Daphnia pulex: one gene and its partners. The protein of the gene in region 1 purifies or fractionates together with the protein of each later gene. This does not show direct contact. Links are inferred from orthologs where the notes say so. Each region holds a gene or a part of one and is shown on either strand. Other genes may lie near its edges. The genes, in order: enhancer of mRNA-decapping protein 4-like, enhancer of mRNA-decapping protein 3-like and 5'-3' exoribonuclease 1-like.

The links.
Region 2: the proteins of enhancer of mRNA-decapping protein 4-like (region 1) and enhancer of mRNA-decapping protein 3-like purify together in Homo sapiens (affinity purification with mass spectrometry; 6 studies listed by BioGRID and IntAct, with this or other methods). This does not show direct contact. The link is inferred for Daphnia pulex from reciprocal best matches to the Homo sapiens genes EDC4 and EDC3.
Region 3: the proteins of enhancer of mRNA-decapping protein 4-like (region 1) and 5'-3' exoribonuclease 1-like purify together in Homo sapiens (co-immunoprecipitation; 4 studies listed by BioGRID and IntAct, with this or other methods). This does not show direct contact. The link is inferred for Daphnia pulex from reciprocal best matches to the Homo sapiens genes EDC4 and XRN1.

The regions. Positions count from the first base shown.
Region 1 is NC_060018.1:11,848,835-11,855,793, reverse strand, and holds the start of enhancer of mRNA-decapping protein 4-like, read right to left. Parts: upstream 4,064-6,959; 5' UTR 3,887-4,063; coding exon 3,837-3,886; intron 3,776-3,836; coding exon 3,567-3,775; intron 3,503-3,566; coding exon 3,218-3,502; intron 3,147-3,217; coding exon 2,902-3,146; intron 2,841-2,901; coding exon 2,728-2,840; intron 2,663-2,727; coding exon 2,476-2,662; intron 2,412-2,475; coding exon 1,584-2,411; intron 1,509-1,583; coding exon 1,374-1,508; intron 1,295-1,373; coding exon 944-1,294; intron 873-943; coding exon 274-872; intron 205-273; coding exon 96-204; intron 22-95; coding exon 1-21. Other genes in the region: uridine-cytidine kinase-like 1, read right to left, coding at 4,606-4,625, 4,721-4,849, 4,910-5,075, 5,147-5,248, 5,310-5,393, 5,458-5,667, 5,736-5,987, 6,058-6,129 and 4 more. UniProt on the Homo sapiens protein: In the process of mRNA degradation, seems to play a role in mRNA decapping. Component of a complex containing DCP2 and DCP1A which functions in decapping of ARE-containing mRNAs. Promotes complex formation between DCP1A and DCP2.
Region 2 is NC_060018.1:5,241,517-5,247,696, reverse strand, and holds enhancer of mRNA-decapping protein 3-like, read right to left. Parts: upstream 3,869-6,180; 5' UTR 3,673-3,868; coding exon 3,042-3,672; intron 2,984-3,041; coding exon 2,615-2,983; intron 2,557-2,614; coding exon 2,210-2,556; 3' UTR 2,117-2,209; downstream 1-2,116. Other genes in the region: uncharacterized protein LOC124210599, read left to right, coding at 63-167, 249-326, 451-840, 909-1,260, 1,331-1,605, 1,667-1,848, 1,918-2,104. UniProt on the Homo sapiens protein: Binds single-stranded RNA. Involved in the process of mRNA degradation and in the positive regulation of mRNA decapping. May play a role in spermiogenesis and oogenesis.
Region 3 is NC_060026.1:2,430,441-2,437,502, forward strand, and holds the start of 5'-3' exoribonuclease 1-like, read right to left. Parts: upstream 4,007-7,062; 5' UTR 3,801-4,006; coding exon 3,726-3,800; intron 3,662-3,725; coding exon 3,530-3,661; intron 3,474-3,529; coding exon 3,327-3,473; intron 3,270-3,326; coding exon 3,108-3,269; intron 3,052-3,107; coding exon 2,887-3,051; intron 2,820-2,886; coding exon 2,652-2,819; intron 2,587-2,651; coding exon 2,317-2,586; intron 2,257-2,316; coding exon 1,916-2,256; intron 1,848-1,915; coding exon 1,544-1,847; intron 1,478-1,543; coding exon 1,303-1,477; intron 1,242-1,302; coding exon 1,063-1,241; intron 999-1,062; coding exon 670-998; intron 606-669; coding exon 1-605. Other genes in the region: uncharacterized RNA-binding protein C660.15-like, read left to right, coding at 4,819-5,059, 5,134-5,303, 5,373-5,516, 5,589-5,793, 5,871-6,224, 6,749-6,913, 7,014-7,062. UniProt on the Homo sapiens protein: Major 5'-3' exoribonuclease involved in mRNA decay. Required for the 5'-3'-processing of the G4 tetraplex-containing DNA and RNA substrates. The kinetic of hydrolysis is faster for G4 RNA tetraplex than for G4 DNA tetraplex and monomeric RNA tetraplex.

The DNA of each region.
Region 1 (6,959 bases):
CGATTGAATTTGGGCGGCTTGCTGGAAGGGAATAGATAATGAGATTAACGACGAAATAAAAAATAAAAAAATGGTAAATAGGGTGAGAGAATTACGTGAACTGCCAACATGGCACCGTCCAGAGCCGCTTTCTGATCCTTGATGGCGTGTTGCATCTCGGACTGGATCACAGGAGTCAAAAGTACACGAACCCTCTCCGGAAATCTGAATTAAACAACGAACATTTCAATAGAAATTCTAATTAGGTTAGAATTTGGATAGATTAGATCTTACTCGTGAGAGATTTTCTTCAATTCCGTCTTGGTATCGGACGAAATCGACTGCCGGACTTGGTCCAAAACGACGGCAATCTTATCCATGGTGGCGTTGAGTTGAACGGCCGATTCCTTGTCTTGCAGCCTGCGGTGTCGTTCCAGGTTGCTCTCGATGTTTCGTACGACTGGTAAGGTAACGTTATTCATATTGAAGTGACGAGTGACGCAAATCCTTTCTGAATAGTCATTTCTAAATGAATGCTCACACTCGGTGATCCCCTTGGAAAAAGTGTTGTGCAGCTGGGCGAAGAGTGTCTGGAACGAGACTTCCAGCGACGGAAGCAGCTGTGACGTGATGGCATCCTTGCAGCCGCGATTCATGGCCGACACGGCCGCCGTCGAAGTAGCTTGGCTGTACGCATCGATGATGGACTTGTTCTGCGACAAATGGCTCATCATTTGCATCGTAGAGTTTTTCAAAAACGGTTCCAGTTTATTCATCTCCGTCGCAATGACCGATTGCAATTCCTTGCGGATAAAATCAACACTTCGTTGCTCCAGTGTATGCGCCTTGTTCTCGAATTCGGATCGGATCGTCGACTGAAGTTTCGACACGGACTAGAAAATAATAATAATAATAGAAAAATACATCAACAAGAAATAATTAACTGATTTCAATAGTCAAATACTTGTTGGGTTTTTGCCGGAGAATTAACTTCGTCCAACTTTTTAGTCTGGCGATCGAAATAAACGGCCAAAGTGGATTCCATCTGAGCGATCCATGGAGGCTGGATGGGTTCCGGTGAGTGCATCCGAGTCATTTCCGCCTTCAACTGACCAATCTCGCTCTTCAGTTGTTGTTGTTCTGCGCGTTGAGCAGAGACGAGCTGAACCAATTGGTCCAGTGTCTGTTGCATCATTTGCATCTGAGCAGAATTTCCGGCATCCGTTTCGCGCACTGGCGGCTCTTTGGGCCGTTGTAGTTGTTGAACGTTGAGTGGCGGAAGAACGGACGGCCACGCTGCTTGCGCTGGCAAAGCCTGGATGTGTGTCGGGGTGTGTTCAAATATTAGACACCAACATATAACCCAATAATCAATAGAATAAAGCGAAAGCTACTTCAACGACAAGGGCTTCTTTAAATAATTCCAGCAAACTGCCGTTTAAATCCGCAGATACGGAGGAAGGAGTAGGAGCTGCAACAGCGGAAGTAGGGTAAGTGCATAGCGGATCCTCAACAGTTGGTGCGTTATACTAGATTTTAAATGAGGTGTGCAAATAGTAATTACAAATGGCAAATGATCGGCAAATGATCGAAATACGCCCTACTTTATCCATGATGGGGGATGGTCCTTTGCTGTTGACCGAGGCTGAGCGACCCATAGCCGGCGATAACGAAATGGGATAGGCCGATAAGGCGTCTTGAAGGGCTGGACCTGTAGGCACGGTGGCGGAAGAGGTATCGGGTGACTCGATCGAGCCTTCCGTCATAGGTCTTGTTCCCAGGATTTCTTCTACTTCGCGACTGGGGCTGCTACCCCCACTGGGAATGCCGTTCCGCTTCGGCGTCGTTGATGAGGTAACCTCAGGTGTCGGTCGTCGTGGGCTTGAAAGGGCCAGGATCTCACCTGATGCAGGCGGCAAGGGACTCACGGTGCCTGGTGAAGTCACAATCAATTGCTTTTGAGATGAGGAATCCGTGTTGGTTTTGGCTGGAGAGACGAACGCGTCGGGTGTCAACAGGTTGATGTGGTTGGTAGCGGATGCTGTTTTGACTACATTCACCGGTTCATACTCCGACGTGGTGTTGATGGTGGAGAAGGAGGTTCCAATAGCCTCGCCCAGTGGGACCGAAGTCCCCAATTCAAAGACTGCTTTGCACTTTTGCAGCGACTTGGGCTGCACTACGAACATCTTCATTATCACTTTACTGGCCTTTTCATCTCCATCAAAGTCCTCGTCACCCAATGGCTGGGAAGGTGGCCTAATTGAAGCTTCCCGGATGGCAACACTAATGGCTGAGAAAGGCAACAGGAGTTGAGTGATGCTGCTCACTTTCGAGATGGTTCGTTCTTCCGATTTGGAAGGTACTTCGCCGTCATCAGAGAGCGGATTCCTCTCTTCTGGCTCCTGTTCTATGTGCATAACGTACAAAGCCTATTGACAAAATTAGATTGGTATGAGAGTTGAGTAAATCAAAGAAAGGTGGGATATAAATAACCTTGCGATGAATGTCGGAAATAAGAAGGAATGAAGCCGACAAGTCGAGTGTCATTTTTTGGATAATGGGAATAGAATCATCCGATTTGAAACGGATCGTCTGATGGCACTTCCACAATTCACAGGACCATAGCTTAAACTCTGTGTTGTTTTCCGCGGATGTGACTGCCCACTTCCACAGCGGACATCTATAGACGAATCGAAGAGTGTCGTTGAGGATTGGAAGAAACAATGCCGAACAAAATAGACTTACTCTCTGATAGTTGGATGACTGAGATTGTCCAAGAAAATAATGCCTGAGAGTCTTTTTCCTTCATGTGGTTGCCACTTGTGCAAAATTTTTGGAATTTCCTTTTTAATATTGACCTAGAATAAAAATTGCAGCATTTAGCAAATGCCTAGTTAGTTAAAAGTAATTTTCACATACCAAAAAGAATCTGACGTAGCCATCCAAACTGGCGACAGCAATTGCTGTTGAATCTGGAGAAAATGCCACATCAACAACAGCATCATCAAATGAGGTAATTTGAGTGGATCCAGTAGTCACACTGGGGTAGGTGACTGTTCCATTGATATGACCCAGATGCCATATTTCCACACGGCAATCATGTACCGCTGCAAGCATTAATGCATGATCATCAGCATCATTTCTCAAACCATCACTCAATTCATCTGTGAGAAAGAAAATCAAACAAGAAAATTAGTATAACAAAATACAAATTCTAATAGAAATAACAACAAACCTAGAGTTTTGGGATTTTCTGGGACATAGGGACACCAGACTACACGATGGCAGTCGGTGGCAGTAGTAATTCCATCGGGATTCACTTGCAAAATCAATTGAGCAGTTGATCCAATGATCTCATGGACGAGAAGGTAACTATATTCATCGACAGCAGCCACAAGTATCCTTTTCTCATGGAACGCAAAAGACAGGTCTCGAACAAAGCCATGGAATCCCTTTAATAGGATTCTATCACTGCTCCCAGTTCTTATCACTCGAACCATGCCAGCTGATTTTCCGGGGACTAAACAACCAAAACAGAATTAGTGAATGTAGTTAAATACTTGCACATTGTTGGTATTAATAACCTGTCAGTGCATATGCAAAATATTGCCCCTTGTAATGAGTGGCAACCAGGTTTCCCCAGTGGAAAGCTTTATCCCATGATGAATCAACTATATTTTTAACTTTGATCTGTGAGCTACCAGAACGGTGCCCTCCATTAACTGGATAAATAACAACATCTTCTGATGATTTTGTTGCAACACTTTGCCAATCCATCGCCTCTGAAAACATACTGTAAAAATATTTATGTAATCAAGTCTTTCTCAATAATTTGTTAAGTAATAGTCACACACATGGTAAGTTCCTCATCTTTGCTCGTTTGACCATTAAAACTGCAGCTCATGGTGAATCTCTCGACGGGTGTATAATCAGCGAGAAAAACCAACCACGTGCGATAAAATACAGATGAATTTTACAAAATTTTCTAACTGAACTAATAAAGACAAACGACTCCGACGAAATCGACCGGTGTGCAAGTGCAACAAACTGTGTGTCTGATTTCGCTTCGTCGTAACTCGTAACTGCTGAGCCGAAAACAAAAGAAGATCGCACCGCGGCTTACAAACATGTTGATAAACAAACGTTTATCTTTGTTTTTCCAAGATTCGGCGGTAAATGTTGGTTGTTGCCTAAAATGCCTATGCCCAACAAACTATTTAATGTCTTTATTTAATTCATTTCATTGAAATATAATTTTTTTTATTGAAATGAAGAAAAATGGCCGTTTATAACACATTAACACAAAATGTATTATTGTTCTTTTTCACGAGTTTGCCAATAATCAGTTAGTAAGTATAATAAACTAAAATAGGAGAAAGCAAAAATTTTTATGTTCTTTTCTGTGTAAAAAAACATCAGATTGACTGAGTGGAAACAATAAGAAAAGACATTTAATTTAGTCTTCTATGACTGTTTGGTCCAGATATTAATCTGTAAGATTTTTAAATCACAATTTTATAAGAGAAAGAAAATTAAGTACTGAGTGGTCTCTTGCATCATATAGGGGGACAGAAAAAATACACTAGGGGAATCCAGCTATTTCAAATAATTAGGAAATCTTCTTTACATTTCATTAGGGGGTTCTGAAAATTAACAACAACAAAAATGTTTAGAAGATAATTCAATTATTTAGAAGATGAGTAATTTTATTATGAATAATAGATAAAAATCGACGAACCTGTGCCAAAGTATCGGTCTCCAAAATTACCAATACCAGGCTTGACAAAGAATTTTTCGTTGATTTCTGGGTCAACTGCAGAGGAAACAATTCTCACCCTGGGAAAGGCGTAGGCAATCGAATGTACACCTATTTATAAGCAGAAAAATAAAGCATCGATTAAGATGATTTCTTTTCAATTTTGATTACCTGAAGCGGCCATCAGTAAGGAGGCGACTAGGATATTTTCCTCAGGAACGTCATGATCAAGGAGCACCCTGATCGCCATCATGGCTGCAGCTCCAGTCGCCACAGTTGCATCCATCAAAATGACTAGATAGTCTTTAATGTCACGAGGTAGTCGAAGATAGTACAGCTAAAATTCATTTAAAAAAAAGGAACTTGTTATTAAGTAATGTAATAATAATAAATTGATTAGCTATTTACTTCAGGTTCTCCTGTTTCGATGTTATTCTGGATAAGGATTTTCCCGATACGAATATCTTTACATACTTCAGAAAGTGCTTGTTCCATAGTTTCTCCAGCTCGCTAAAGATACGGTATTTTTTAAAAATATTTTATGGTATTTATTTAAGCTTTAACCAATTACCAAAACGGAAACTCCAACGATTTTATCAGTAGCTATGCGCTTCCCTTGATATGAAACTCCTTGTGGTGTGTCTACCGTGGTATCCTAAAGAAACAATCCATTTCTTTAATAACAACATTTATGCGTATCTTAATTAGGGAGGTTATACCTTAAACGGCAGTAAAGACAGAGCAAACTCTATTGTTAATCGAATCAGCCGACGTGAATAGAAGATGAATTCATCACGAGGAGTCTCTTTGTTACGAATGAAAGTGTGTAAACCCTTGACTTGCGGGGTTAACGGCAGAATATGAAGAGAGTTTGGCAGTGGCTGATCCACTTGTGCGGTAGCCAAGATGGGCCTTAACTTGAAACCTCTCTGTGGAATAAAGAACAATAATTAGAATAACCAATCGTATTAATTCCAAGAAGTAATATCGTGCACACCAATTGTAGTTGCGTCTGAACGTGTTGCACAATAAGACTGATGGCGACTTCATTGTCACCACCACGAGGAACGATAATATCAGCGTGCGCCATCAGAGGTGCAATGTAGTGCTCGAACGATGGTTTGACAAATGAACTGTATTGTTTCAAGACTCCCTCTAGCTCGCGTCCGCGTTGAGAGATGTCGCGCCGCAAACGCCGCGCCAACCGTATATCCGAGTCCGTGTCAACAAATACTTTCATGTCCAGCAACTGATAAGAAATGGTTCCACTTTTTAAACAGAATGCTTTTCAATAGTCAGTGTGAAGCACATCTATTTACCGAAACAATTTCCTGATTGTAAAACGTCAAAATTCCCTCGAAGATAATCACGTTGGCACCATACATGGTTTTCTGTTAGATAACAAGAAGATAGAAAATAAAGAAAACTCTGAAATCATATTATCGTCAAATTGCGTACAGTCTTGGTTTCCCGACTATGCGTGATAAAATTGTAAATAGGGACTTCGACACTCTTGAAATGTTTCAAACGTTGCAGTGTTTTGCGCAACAATTCAAAATCAAACGCGTCTGGGTGGTCAAAGTTGTACTCGTTTATTGCTGCCTGATGATGCTGCTTATCGGTTAACACCTAAATTAAAGATAAACATGACAATAGCTTTGTTTTGCAATTACAGAAAGTATGGAGACTTTACCTTATAGAATGAATCCATACTAAGCAGGGTCACCCACGGATGCCCCAGAGATTCGATTATCTTGTTTGTAACGGTCGTTTTACCGGAGGCGCTTCCTCCGCAAATTCCTGTGTTTAATTAAAAATGAGCAGGTAATTAAAAATGTTCATCTAAGAAAGGGGAATTATTTACCAATGACAAAAGGTTCAACATGTTGCCCAGAAAAGTTGTACCACGGTGGTCTACCAGCAGTGTAAAAAGTTTTTTGTTCCTTTGTCCTTAGGATGAAATCCTAAAAAATATATTTGAAATGGTTTTTATTCATCTTATTAACCTGGATTTCATAATTAAAATTTTACAATTACCTGATTAGTTGTTGTTACAGCGGCTTTAGCAGCAGCACTCTGTGACAAAGTTCTTTGTCTTCTGGTTCTAGGAGATTTGGGTTGAGAGCCTGCAGACGGTGGTCTAGGTGGAAACTGAGGTGACAAGGGCGCTTCACCTTCAATCCTTGGAGTGTCAGATTCAGTGATATTACTATCCATGCCT
Region 2 (6,180 bases), about 6.6 Mb from region 1:
TTCGTGTTGAACGAATACTTTCAACCATACACATAATTCTTTCATTTTAAACCCAATAATAGGTATTCGAAGATTCTCTAAATAATGAATATCCAAATCAAAAAGAGAATCAAGCGCCTGAGGGAACAAATTCAAGTAATGATATAATGATTCTTGTTGTCGATCAGGTAAAATGAAGTTTTTTTTTATAGCACAAACAAATTTTTTGAAATGCCATGAATGTATTTATTTTTGCATTCTGAATTCAGGAAACGGACTCGGAGGAGAATAATGCTTCTTCAGAAATGGACCCAACCCCAATGAAAGTTACTTCGATTTCAGAGGGGGTATGTTTTTTAAATATTTTATAACAATCCTCATCATCCGGACTACTCCCTTCGTTAAAAATATTGATGTACTTCCTCGTTTCTTCTTGTCTAACGCTTTTATCTTTCTTCACTCCAACTTCAGGTTGACCTCGCTGAAACAGATAGTACTTCTGAAGGGAAAGCATCTGCTGAAGAAAATATGAATAATGAAAATTTGACAAAATCACCTGAACCTACAGGTGTATCAAGTGTATGTTTCAATCAACTAGATGTCATCGATACCGATTTTGAATGTGAATCTGAACTGCCGCTTGGGGCTTCGAGCCCTCATGACGAAAGAAATCGAGCTTGTCAAACTTCAAATCAAGGAGCCAAGCGCTACGTCCTAATCCACCGTCCAGATTCAAACATGACTCATGTCATGCATGTTTGGGGCCCTTCAAGTATAACAGAACAAACTACCATTCCTATTCGAACAGCTGCTGATCGCGAAGCAAATAATCCTTCTGGAGAAACAAACCCATCATCACAAGTATAGTATTTCTTGCTTTAACACTAGTTGCCATACAATTTTAATCGCCTTTTTTTGTACTTGTCCAGGGAAATCAAAAGTCATCTTCTTCAGGTGCTGAGGGTGGCAGTGGCATTTTTTGTCCATCTGGATCTGGTGCATCAGGAACAAGTGCTGGCAACAGCGGAGGAGACGATGGGGATAAACCTCCTTCGAGTCCATTAAGCAGCAATCATGTCGATGAAAATTTAGTCATGGAAGACGACGACGAAGAAGAAGACTCTATTTCACTTGATTTCTTGACGACAATTCCATTGGCTACCAATTCTGTTCCAAAAGGGAGGAGCCCTGCTCATCGCCATATTCGACATCAGCGCAATGCTAAGCGGATACTTGACTCTTGGATGGCCGATGATGACCCAGTGCAGCCACGCAGCGATGGTACTGCTTAAATTTTGTTTACTGATGATTATTATAATAATCAATATTTTTTAAATTTTATTATTGTTAGCATATGCCCAAATTTATTTCATGAAAGTTCGAAGTCGGTTGGAACAATCAAATCCCGTGGCGTTTAAAGAATTCTTTACTACTTTGGGCCAATTTCAATCTAGTTCTGGTTCATTCTTGGAGTTGTACAGAAAAATCGAGACTATTTTGAAAGATAACATGGATTTGTTGGAAGAGTTCGTTCTCTTTTTAAGTCCAGAGGCAGCTGCTCAATGTGGAGTACAGTTCCAACATTTTTTGTACGTCCGAATGCGCGAATTTTTCTCAAAACTGAAGGTAAATGTCTTTCTTGGTTCTAACTTTATGAATCCGACCATGTTTTTTTTTTCAATTACAGATTCATTTCAAAGATAGCCCTTCACAACTCAAGCGAACTCTGAAGACCCTTCAGCAAGTGGAAAGCAGTGCGTCACCCAACATAAACGACATAAAAAATGCTATTCTTCCTCTGCTCAAAGGAAACGCTCATTTAACGCAGGGTTTTCTTCAGCTTTTTCCTGATGATGCACCACCTCCAAGGTAAACCAAAACTTTTGTGAAAATATAGAAGAAAACTAATTTCAAATAAAACTTGCTCCTTGATTATAGCGATTCAGGGGACTTTGAAGATGTAAATATGGATCAAATCAACAGTGGAGACGAATTTGAACATGTCCACATAAGTGAAGCAACTAACACTCAAGCCAAAGAAAATGAAGTGAAATCAGGAAAACGAACAGGTATGAAAGGAAGTGCCAAGAACAAGAATAAGGGGAAGTCTTGGAAGAAGTCATAGTCTCAGTATATGTTTTATAGAAAATTTGTTGTCTTTATTACCGAAATTCATGTAAATACAGACGCTTTCGTATTAATCGTATACATAGAATGGTGGTGTAGATTCTCAGCAAGACTCGTGCAGAGTTATAACAAACTTGGAGCCAAAAGGTGAATCGTACTCTATGCCTAATGATTGGAAAATCTTGCGAGGTGTAGAAAGTGAGTAAAGGTACAATTTTCCATCGCGATCGCCGTATGCTAATGGTAAGTCGGCCGACAAAGTACATTTAACATCCAACCAAGGCGTAGCATTAATAACAGCAGATGGAGGTTGATCGATTGCCATTGTGGGAGCGCGCTGCTTGTTTGCCCACTCGATGATTCCTTTCATCTTCGAGATTTCGTCGCCACCTCCCCAGCTTGGAGGAAGCAAAGAAGCAACGATCAAATCAACCGAGGCAGATGGCAAGTCTGTTAAGAAATCAAGTAAATTACAATCGCTTAATTAAAATAGCAACAAATGTATTACTTTTTTCGTTGTTGATGACTGATTGACCCGTGAGTTTGTATAGTTCAATTTCTTTCTTCAAATAGTGGGATACAGTCAAAGTTTGTAAGTAGACGACCGTCTGAACTCCTAGAGTGGCTAAATGACGAGCAGCACAAACAGCACCAGCAGCTTCTGGATGGTTACCACATAAAACTACGACAACTGGTTTTTGATGAGAATTTTTAGGTGTCAAGCGGTGAGGACCACCAACAAAGTGAAGAGCAACTTCGGCAACTGCTCGAGCTATCGATTCTGATCTCCTTTCAACACTAATGCCTAGTTTTTCCATGGAATCTTGCATTGCTTTTCTCAGTTCAGGACTTGCACTGGGTACAACTAATCCTGTATCTGTAAAATTAATAATTTAGTGAAATAAGAAATTAAGAAATGCACTAATGTAATGTACCAGTAAGGAATTCCTTTGTTGATGGTGATGGAAGGTGAATTTGGCGGTATGTGGGGGGTAGGGTTTCCAGAATGTTTTCATCGTGTCTAAAATTGGACACTGTTCTGGCTCCAGGACCAAGAGGAGGACCTTGTTGTTTTCCTGACTGTATCTCTCCCATTACTGTTTTCTTATCAAAGAGTGCCAAATTGGTTTCAAAGTCAAAATCCTTTTCCATGTTGACATCAGTTCCGAAGCAAACATCATCTTTTCCAACTCTTCCTTTCATTTTATTTAGCTTGTTTGGTGTGTCTGGAGGGGCAGGCTGAGAAGAAGAACTTCCATAACCATCAAACTTACGGGGAGAGTCTCTGGCACTGGTTTTGTTTTTATTCCGCTGAGATTCTAAATGCTCAACTTCTGCTCTATTCCCAATTTTGTCATCCTTAGGTGAAGGAATGATGGCTAGACTAAGAATGTCTTTAGCCAGCAATGTTACATCATCAATAGATGATTTTAAACCATTCTTCCAAACATCTTTCAAAGTAAGTGTTTGGTTAAGGGTATCCACATTACTTACTTGCCCTTGATAACAACCGAATAACTCTCCACAGTCGACTGTCACATATGAGCCTAAATACTTTCCACTCATATTGTAACTTTTGTAATATAGAAAACAGGTGGTTAAAATGTTTGGAGATAAAAGCCGTTAAAACGAAGTCACTCTCACTCAAATGAGTCGTTTGTGGGCCAAATGTTTTCTATTCGTCTGCTCACGAGGTGAGCATCCACAGGTGAACGATCTAACATAGTGAATTGAACTTAACTGGGCAAACTCTTTGTCTGATTGTCTCTCTCTTTGTTTACCGTTTATTTGGTTATTAGTCTAATTGTGCGAAGGGTTTCCTATTCCCAATACCCAATTGATAAGTAAGACATAGCCACAATGCCACATAGCAGCTATTTCTGTTGGTGTTGCACAGTAAAAAAGGAAACTCATCCGATTTCAAGAGCGAAATTTTTGTGGCAGACGGACATATATATCACAATGTCAATGATGCGTAAAAAATAAGCAAGTTAAATTAGTTATCGGTTTATTAAAGTGAGCTTGAGACTATTAAAGGTTACCTTTATTTAAATGAGAAAAGTTGTTTTGCCACTAGGTGACGCAACTGTTTTTAAACCAGGACATTTGCATGAAGTACATAACTGTCTGTACATTTGTTCAATGGATGCCGAGCGACAAAGTTCCCTTCAAGTCATCCCTTTGTTTTACGCTAAATTTACTTGAGTTAAGGAAAGGCCGTGCAGGTATGGATAAAAATTCGTTGTCAACTTGAGTGACGGACGGTATGGTAATATAAATTAATAGTATAACAACTGCCCTGGCCCTTGCAGGAACTTTGGACTTTTTGACCGCGGATTTCGAAACAATGGAATATTTCGTTTACTGAATAAGAATTGTCATTTAACTTTCAAAAATGAAGAGGTGGTAACGGAGTAAACGGACTAACGATGAAGAATTCTTATTGGACGATTTGTTCAAATTCATCATGCAACATTGCCTCCGCGCCCTAAATTTTAGTGCTTCAAATCATTCAAAATGGCCGGCGCCTGGCGTAGTGTTGTGACAACAATTCCGACGATAATTGTTATTCTTAGGGATATGGTAATCTGTTATATTTTACGTGTATAATTTTTAGAGTATCTGTCTGTCTGGTATTGCATTTTTACTATGACACCTTTTGACGAACTTTATAAAGATCTTGAATGGCTGTAAAGAAGAGTTTACATCGATCATGCGATATTTTTTGTCTTCATTTTTAACGTTGGGTTGGATAGATTTGAATGGTTTACTTGATAACACACTATTTCGATTCTTATTTCATTCTTGACTGAATATTTTCAGATAATATCTTCAGCTGAAGGCTTCATGGTTCATGTGATCTAGGTGCTTGTGACAGTGATAAAATGGTCCAATTCAAGCCGAATTCAAGCTGTCTTCCAAAACCAAGGAAATTCTGTTTGCAAGGTAGTTGCATTTTGACTAACATTTATATTTACTCCTGTGATATTTAAGATGGCATAGTATAATTTGGTAAAAAAACCCTTTCTGAAAAACATGCTTTTCCACTTGTTGCTGGATGGATTGTTTTGGGGTTTGTTCCCATGTCGAAAGAGAAATCCTAGCTCACACCACACTTAAAAGGATAGCATGGTCGCCCCTTCCCTGTCTGTTTGTAAAACCCAAGTGGGCAATCAGATGCTCCTGGTAGAGAAATTAAAACTGGTTTGTTATATTTGCATAGCCAACCTTATTATGGTCAAGATCCCAGTTTCCCACACGTATTTAACAATTTCGAAAGCCGACTTCCTTTTTCATTCACTTAATAGTCTAATTTCCGTAATGTACTCTCTGTAGCAAATCTAACCGTGAATGAACTGGAATTTTCACTTGGTGAACATTTTGGTATTCTTTTTCTATTTTTAACTGCCTAGTTGTAAACCTATCCTATAATGATTATTTCACTTGATAGCTAAATGGATAAAAACATGATTTCTTCTTAATTTTGTAAATAGTCCATTCGTTTCTCGTTTACTGCTCTTGGCACATAGTTCTGTTATGTTTCATAACATTTAATTTTTCTCTTAGAACGCCAATATGTTCCATCGGGATATTCGGTCACATCGTCAACAATCACAAGCTATTCAAATATCTATGCATCACCTATTTATGTGCCAGTTCCCGTTTCACTGCCTTCACAAATCAATCAACCGGAGAGTGGAACTTTTGGATTCAAAAGAAAGAGTTTCTCAGTTGGAAGATCTATAGCGGATGCTGGGACTACAGAAAAAGATTCAGGAATTGGAGATTAGTTTGCAGGAAGCCAAAACCAAACAGGCTGTTCCTCCCAGTGGAATTAAGAGCCAGCAGGTCGTCATCGAAAAATCGATATCGCAAGAAGCCGAACTTTGTGTGTTCCTGAAAAGAATCCTTCTACCTCATCTTTTCTAAAATTCTGAATGAAATTGATCTTCTGCAAGTCCGATTGAGCAATGTGATCGCCTCAACCGGAGCTGTTGTTGTCAACCGTCGTCGCATTGGAAAGATAACGGCGAGGCTCGATCGTTCGCCAAGATGATTCAACGAGAGGTTGAA
Region 3 (7,062 bases), on another chromosome or scaffold:
AAAGCCAGCCGCTGTCAACCTTCTTGGACCAACCAGGGATCTCTTCCTTTGACTTGTTGAACTTTAAGGATAGACCGACGTTGACTTTCTTTGGTCTGCGAGGCCTGTCCGAGTTTTTCTCCTCTTCGGTCGGACTTAAAAGAAGATAGATGGTCCCAGTGATTCGTGAAATTAAATGCGTGCTGATACCGAGCCGCTTGGCTCCAGCATAGCCAGGCATGTAATGGGCCTGTGAGGATCGTTTCTTAACTTCTTCGACTTCTGGTTCGTGAATGTTGTCAAATTCAATGCGGATTTTTCCTTTGAGGTTCTTGTCAGCTGATAAAACTTTGCCCTGTAGACCGTAGCCAGGATGGCCTAACATGAAACAGGCCGAGTTCTGTGAGAAGACTTCAGCGAGAGTCGAAAACTGGTGGCAAACCGTCTCCTTGACTTGCAGTTCTTTGACAGTGGCCTGGAAGGCGTAAGGGACTGGGATAGGGCTCCATTGCTTCTCCAAAGTAACACGCCCGTTTTGAGTGTAAACATATTTTCGCCCGGTAATTGGTGCGGCGTAAACTAAAATAGGCGTAGTCCCGATGTCAACACCCCATCGATTGGCATATCTATAATTGCGAAAGCGGCATTAAGCAAATTTGCACACCAGCAAATGACACCAGTCAGACTCACCGCGTACGAATTTCCTTTTCTTGCAAGCGCCAGTCGTCCACGTCTCGCGGCAACATTGGCATTTTGCGAATTTCTCCATCCAATTTGTAGGTGACGCTACCACCTTCACCAAACGATTCAATTTCGAAGCTGTATTTGCACTCTGTATTGGCAACAGCCACAACCCGAGCTTCCTGCAAGTGAGGCCAACTGACGAAGACAGTCTGCCCGCAATAGCGATTCCCGATGTCGTTGATATCAGGCACCGTTTCTTGGACCAGCGACAAAACCTGCGACTCATTGAGGGTGTTCATGTTGAACACACAGATGGAAGACTTCTTCAAACTTGCCTAAATGGATATACACTTTTATAAACATGTACTTGAATATTAAAAGATTGTCAATCAATGTTACCGTATACGGTAGATTTCTCATCGAGGGGAACCCGGGAATGTATCGATCGGGATTATAGTTAGGGTGAAGACCCTTCACAAGTTGATCGGATGAGATGACGAATGCGTCTCTGGTTATCTCCTTGCATCGGCAGTGATTGTGAGGGATAGTAGGAAAGTAAGCAGGTGCAACACACTCTCCTGCAAATACAATTTTACCAATTAGTGATTATCCCTACTCAGAACGATAATTTAAACTTACCAAGATCCTCTTCACAAAACACATAGACTTGCATGGGGCCGTGCCGATTGCGATTTTTCTCTTGGTCTGATAATCGCGACTCGCAATCTTTCATGGCCGATATAAGTCGCTTCTCGTCGATAAAAGGAATCAGCACTACAGCCTCCCACTCTTGTTGTTTCCCATTCTTGTCCGTCTGCAATAAAAAAATAAATGATTAATGCAAAATTACTGTTCAACCCATTTGCGCCAAAATATTTACACTAAAATTAGACGGGTAATAATCGATAATCGGACTGTCGATGGAGGACATCAAACTGTGATGAGCAACCGGTAACAGGGCTTTGCTGGCTGCAGGTAGTACTCCCAACAGCTGCTCGTAGGGCAGGAAAGGCTGGCCGAGATCATATTTCAACTTGAGGTTGGCGAAATTACGGACATCAGAAACGTAGGGAGCATAATGATGTGGGTAGTACCAAGACCACGAGCACACACCATTATAATAATAGTGAAGGATCCATTGAATGGCAAGAACGTAACCCTCGGCTTGATCCCGAAGGACATCACTAAAAAAAAATTAGTTGTCAATTTAATGTCAACATTGTTATTCGACATTTAAAGAAATACAATTTACCTGTCGACTTCGCTGTATTCCATTTTTTCCATGTAATAATTCCTCTTGTGGGCTTTGAATTCCAGCTGAAATTGCTTGTCTTCGTCGGCCGACGTGTACTCGTCATCGTCGGAAACGTAACTTTCTCCTTCCTCATCATTGGTTTCCTCGTCAATATCAGGTTCCGTTTCTTCTCCGCTTTCCGTGATACAAGCTGAGGCGTCGACAAGCTTGTCAACAACAATCTCATCAGAATCGGCGCTATCTTCTCTCAAGAGATCGTCAACTTCAGCAGCCTTGGCAAGCAAAAAGCTGGCAGTATCAGAGGGTCGTACAGTAGGCGGTTTTTTTTCAAACTCGTACTAAAAATAGAAAAAAGGAATGCAATCGAAGATGCTAAAATTAATCTAAGATGCGGCTACCTCGACTAGTTTCTTGCGACCGTGTCGACTCTCCAGCCATTTGACATCAGCGAAGGTGTCATTAAAATTTTCGTAGTCTATGAGCGCTAGACGTTCCATAAACTTTTCGAACCGTGGCAAGTTCAGCTGACCGTTCTCGTTAATATACCCATCCAGAGTGGGTAGAACTTCCATGTAAGCCGAGTAGAGTAGCGGTAATGCGCCTTTGTTGATATGGAAATGTGGAAGATTAGGAATGAAATCGTTTCCAACCAAAAATCCCATCAAGACCTACAAGGAAAATTTCACTTAAATTATGCGTGAATTTTTTTAAATGGGTTTAAACTATAGCTTACCCAGTCATCAATAATATGCTCCAAGTCGTAGGGAAATTTCAATTTAGGCTTCACAGAGGCAAATTCAAGATCCAAATATTCACGGAATAGTGACAAATGCAGTAAATGAAATGTAGTCTCCTCAGGAGTCGTAATCCTCTTTTCATTTTTCTTTCCACCAAATCTAACCTATTTCGGTGCAACAACAAAAAATTAGTTCTCGACTCGTTTTAAAACAAAAAGCAGACCTTCGTACTTCTTCACGGAGCAAGGAGAAATATGGTTCGTGAGAGCACAAACCCAACATCATGAGATCAGCATCTAACCCATAAAGACAGTGACGAGTCTCGGCGTTGTAGTCTGGTTGACTTCTTTGAAATCGAATAAACTCCATAATCTTGTGCTCACCTTCTCCAGGAACCTGTGAAAAGTGAGTTGAGCAAGATTTCATGTTGTGTAAATGGTTGACTAAATTACCTGATGTCCAGACAAAATGACTTGCGTATTTTGCCACAGAGGATCAGTAGATACTTTATTGGTGACAAAAAATTGCAACTGTTTTTGCAGATTGTCCATGAATTCAGTTCCAGGAGTGATGCAATTGGAGTCAAATCTTTTCTCTTCTGGCAAAACCTCACCCTAAATTAGATCAACTTGTTAAAACATTGTTCATAGATGATTGATCAATTTATATACCTTTCTCAGAGCTTCTTTTTCTTTATCCTCAGCTTCCTTAGCTGAGCGGAACCTTCTACCACGCTGCTGGTTCATTTTGGCACGAGGGGCAACTCCATCAATTGCCATGAAGAAGACCTTTTGGGGTCTAATGAGGCGAAACAGGACCTGCATGAAAATAAAGTTTAACAGGTTGTCACACAAAACTACTGTCAGTAACTTACCTCCAAATAGTGAAATATGTCAGAAACAATTTTTTCTTCAGAGATTCTGAAGTGAACATCTTCGTCGTTGGGGTGGGAGCAGTTGTGAATAATTCCATTCATGTCCAGGTATAAATTGTCAAATTCAGGTATCTAATCATTCAGAAATTTATGAAATACAACACATTTATATTGCTAATTTAAATCTTAAGCATACCTGATATTCTTTTACTGTTTCACTTAGGCAAGGATAGCGTTCGCTGATCCACCGGTAAAACTTGGGGACACCCATATTGCAAATTTGTAAGAAACGACTGAGAAATTAATATGTCAATCAACACAATGCAATCTTTATAACTTTATATATCTCGGACAAGTTCTCGTAGTGAGTTTTACGGCGGCTATAAGTGATGAGCTACGAGCCTACGATATGAGCTTTTATTTAGCATACAACCATACAAACACCGAGACAATGCAAAACCAGCCAAAAGCGACATTGCAACATTTTCTCATAGGATTCCGACCGGTTATTTATTTGTTTATTTTTTAAGCTCTTCTTTTTTATTTTACCGTTAGATAAAATAATAAAAAAAAAGTTCTTTGATTAGAAGATATTCCGAATTTTGCAGTGAAATTGAAAACGCATCAAGAATGTAAAATGTCATTTTCTAAAATCTATTGCGCTGCATCAGCAAATGAGAATGACCCTCGACTTTATTTACAATCGTTTCTTCTATTTTGATATTAAAAATGGGATGATCCGATAGGAATTGGCAGTGAGTTTGAAATAATCGGAATATTTATGCTAAGCTCAGCCTTCCAGCAGCGACAATGTCTTCAAATGTCAAAATAATAACATAGTGACAATGAGTTTTGGCTGTGACGTTTTTGTTCCGGGTCCTAGGGGGTTGGGGAAGGGAAAAAAATCCAGAATGGCGTCGACTGCTTTACCTTAACTTTCGTATGGAATGGATGGATGTGTTGGGTTGGCCGTGCAAAAGTTTGATGCCTGAGAGAGAATCTGGCTGTAAATGGTTGAATGTGATGAACTCTAGAGTCAGGTTTTGTAATTAGAGGGTGTGCAAAGTGTGGAATTGAGAGTGTTGTGTGTGTGTTTCTTTCCGAGTGTAAAAAAAAAATCGGCTTCTTCTCTCCCCCCCCCCCTCCTTCCTGGTCCCAGTTGTGTACAGCTAGAGTCGGCGTCGATGGAAACGATAGCATTCATTCCCCGTTTGCGATGATCATATGCCCGTACGATTGGTTGTTGTAAAAGTCGTGAGTATCTCGTCAGTTTATTTAGTCGCCCGAAAATGAGCTGCAGCTACATTCAAGTTGCTGAGGATGAGACTGAGGAGCCCATAGAATTACCCACTGAGGATGACAGTGCGCTATTGCTCAGCACCTTGGCTGCCCAATTTCCAGGTGTTTCGGGCCTCAAGTACAGAGCCCCAGAATCTCGCTCAATGAGAGGTGTCAGACTTCTAGAAGGAAGGTTCCAGCCGCCAGAGGATGGCTGGGGGAACCACGTCTACATATGTGTTTTCCCCAAAGGTAATGATGCATGTCAAACTTTGTTTGGTTTTTCAACTAGACTAAGACGGTTTCTTGTGTGCATTTCAAAACAGAAAACAAACGAAAGTCAGATGACCATCCAGAAAACTCCACAGCCAAAACCAAACGGATGGAAATGAGGCTCAAGTGCTCTGACCTCATTGTGCTTGGATTGCCATGGAAAACATCCGAGCAGGACTTGAGGGTGTATTTTGAAAACTTTGGTGAACTTTTGATGGCACAGGTACGATTCAAGACCACTCCTGTAAACAAAAAGAGTTCACTCTCTTACCCAATGTTTACATGTTGACAGGTCAAGAAGGATGCAAAAACTGGCCAGAGCAAAGGTTTCGGCTTCATACGATTCGCCAATTACGATTCTCAAGTCCGCGTCCTTTCTCAGCGGCACCTTATCGACGGCCGATGGTGTGACGTGAAAATTCCCAACTCGAAAGCGGTGAGATCTCATTCTCGCCTTTAATTCAATTCCGGACGAAATCTGACTGACTTTGTCCCTTCATTAAAACAGGGTGGCACCCCGCAGGTCCCGTGCAAAGTATTCGTCGGCCGGTGCACGGAGGACATCACGGCGGACGACCTGCGCGACTATTTCTGCAAATTTGGCGAAGTGACGGACGTGTTTATTCCCAAGCCATTCCGGGCGTTTTCGTTTGTCACCTTCCTGGATCCCGAAGTGGCCCAGTCGCTCTGCGGAGAGGATCATATCATCAAAGGTAGTAGATGTGCTTTGGATGTCGACTCGAGTCCGAGACGACCGTGCTTGAATGTCTTTCTCGACTTCGCTCCCGAGCAGGTACGTCGGTGCACGTAAGCAACGCCGCACCCAAGACGGACATTTCTTCGCGCTACACGACCTATCAGCAGCCTCCTGCCCACCATCAACACCATGCCCACCATCAGCAACAGCAGCATCATCATCAGCAGCACCACCATCAGCAACAGCATCACCATCACGCTCAGCAGCAGCAGCAACAGCACCACCATCATCACCATCACCACGCCCAGCAGCAGCAGCAACAGCAGCAGCAGTACGGCCACCAGCACCAACAGCATCACACTCCGCCACACAGTCACGGAATGGGACCGCCGGGTCCGTCCAGAGGACCGCCAGCTATTCCCTACACCGGAGTGCTCCGTGGCCCAGGTCAGGGATATTCATCGTAAAAAAAAAACAAAAAAAAAAAAAACAAATAAATCAATAAAAGAACAAGGGGGGCAAACAAATGAAACAAAAAAGGGGGGTTCATTCTTCCTACTTTTTCTTTTAAATAATAATTTCCCATCATCATCTTTTTTTCTTCTTTCGAGTGTGGGTGTGGTGTGGGATCGGAGAGTGAGTGGGTGTGTGATTGTGTGTGTGAAAGAGATAAGATTTGAGTTTTCGTTCTGATAAAAGTCTGACATCGATAGAGATTATCCAGAAAGTTGTTTCTTCTTCCCCCACTATTATTTGATTTTTTTTTTCGTAGAATTTATTATTTCTTCCCCTTTTCTTCGTGAAGTCGAAAAATAAAATTGTTTTTTGGGCATTGTAAATCGCCTTCTATCTTTCTATTTTTTTATTATTATTTTCTCCTTCAAGCCAAAATAATTTGAAATGATTCGATTTAGAACTTTAGTGTAAATTTGTTCGTTTTTTTTCTCGTTTGTTTTTTTTTTGCTTCACAGGCATAGGAGGAGACGGAATGACGTCTAAAGGGGGTCCATGGGGTGCAACTGTAGGTCCGGGTGGGGCGTCGGCCGCTGCGACGGTCAACCCGTACCACCACCAAGGACCCAATCCGTTTCACCAAGGTGCTGCACCCGGTACTAACTCGGACTGGTGGCATTCGAGTAGTTTACATTCTCTTGTTCTATTAAATTATATTCATTTTAAAAAATGACGGACACTTTTACCAATTCACCGATGTCGTTTTTTTCCCCCTACTTCCAGGTGGAGGTGGACCGTCTCCCTATCAGCCGTCATCCGTCGGAGGAGCTTG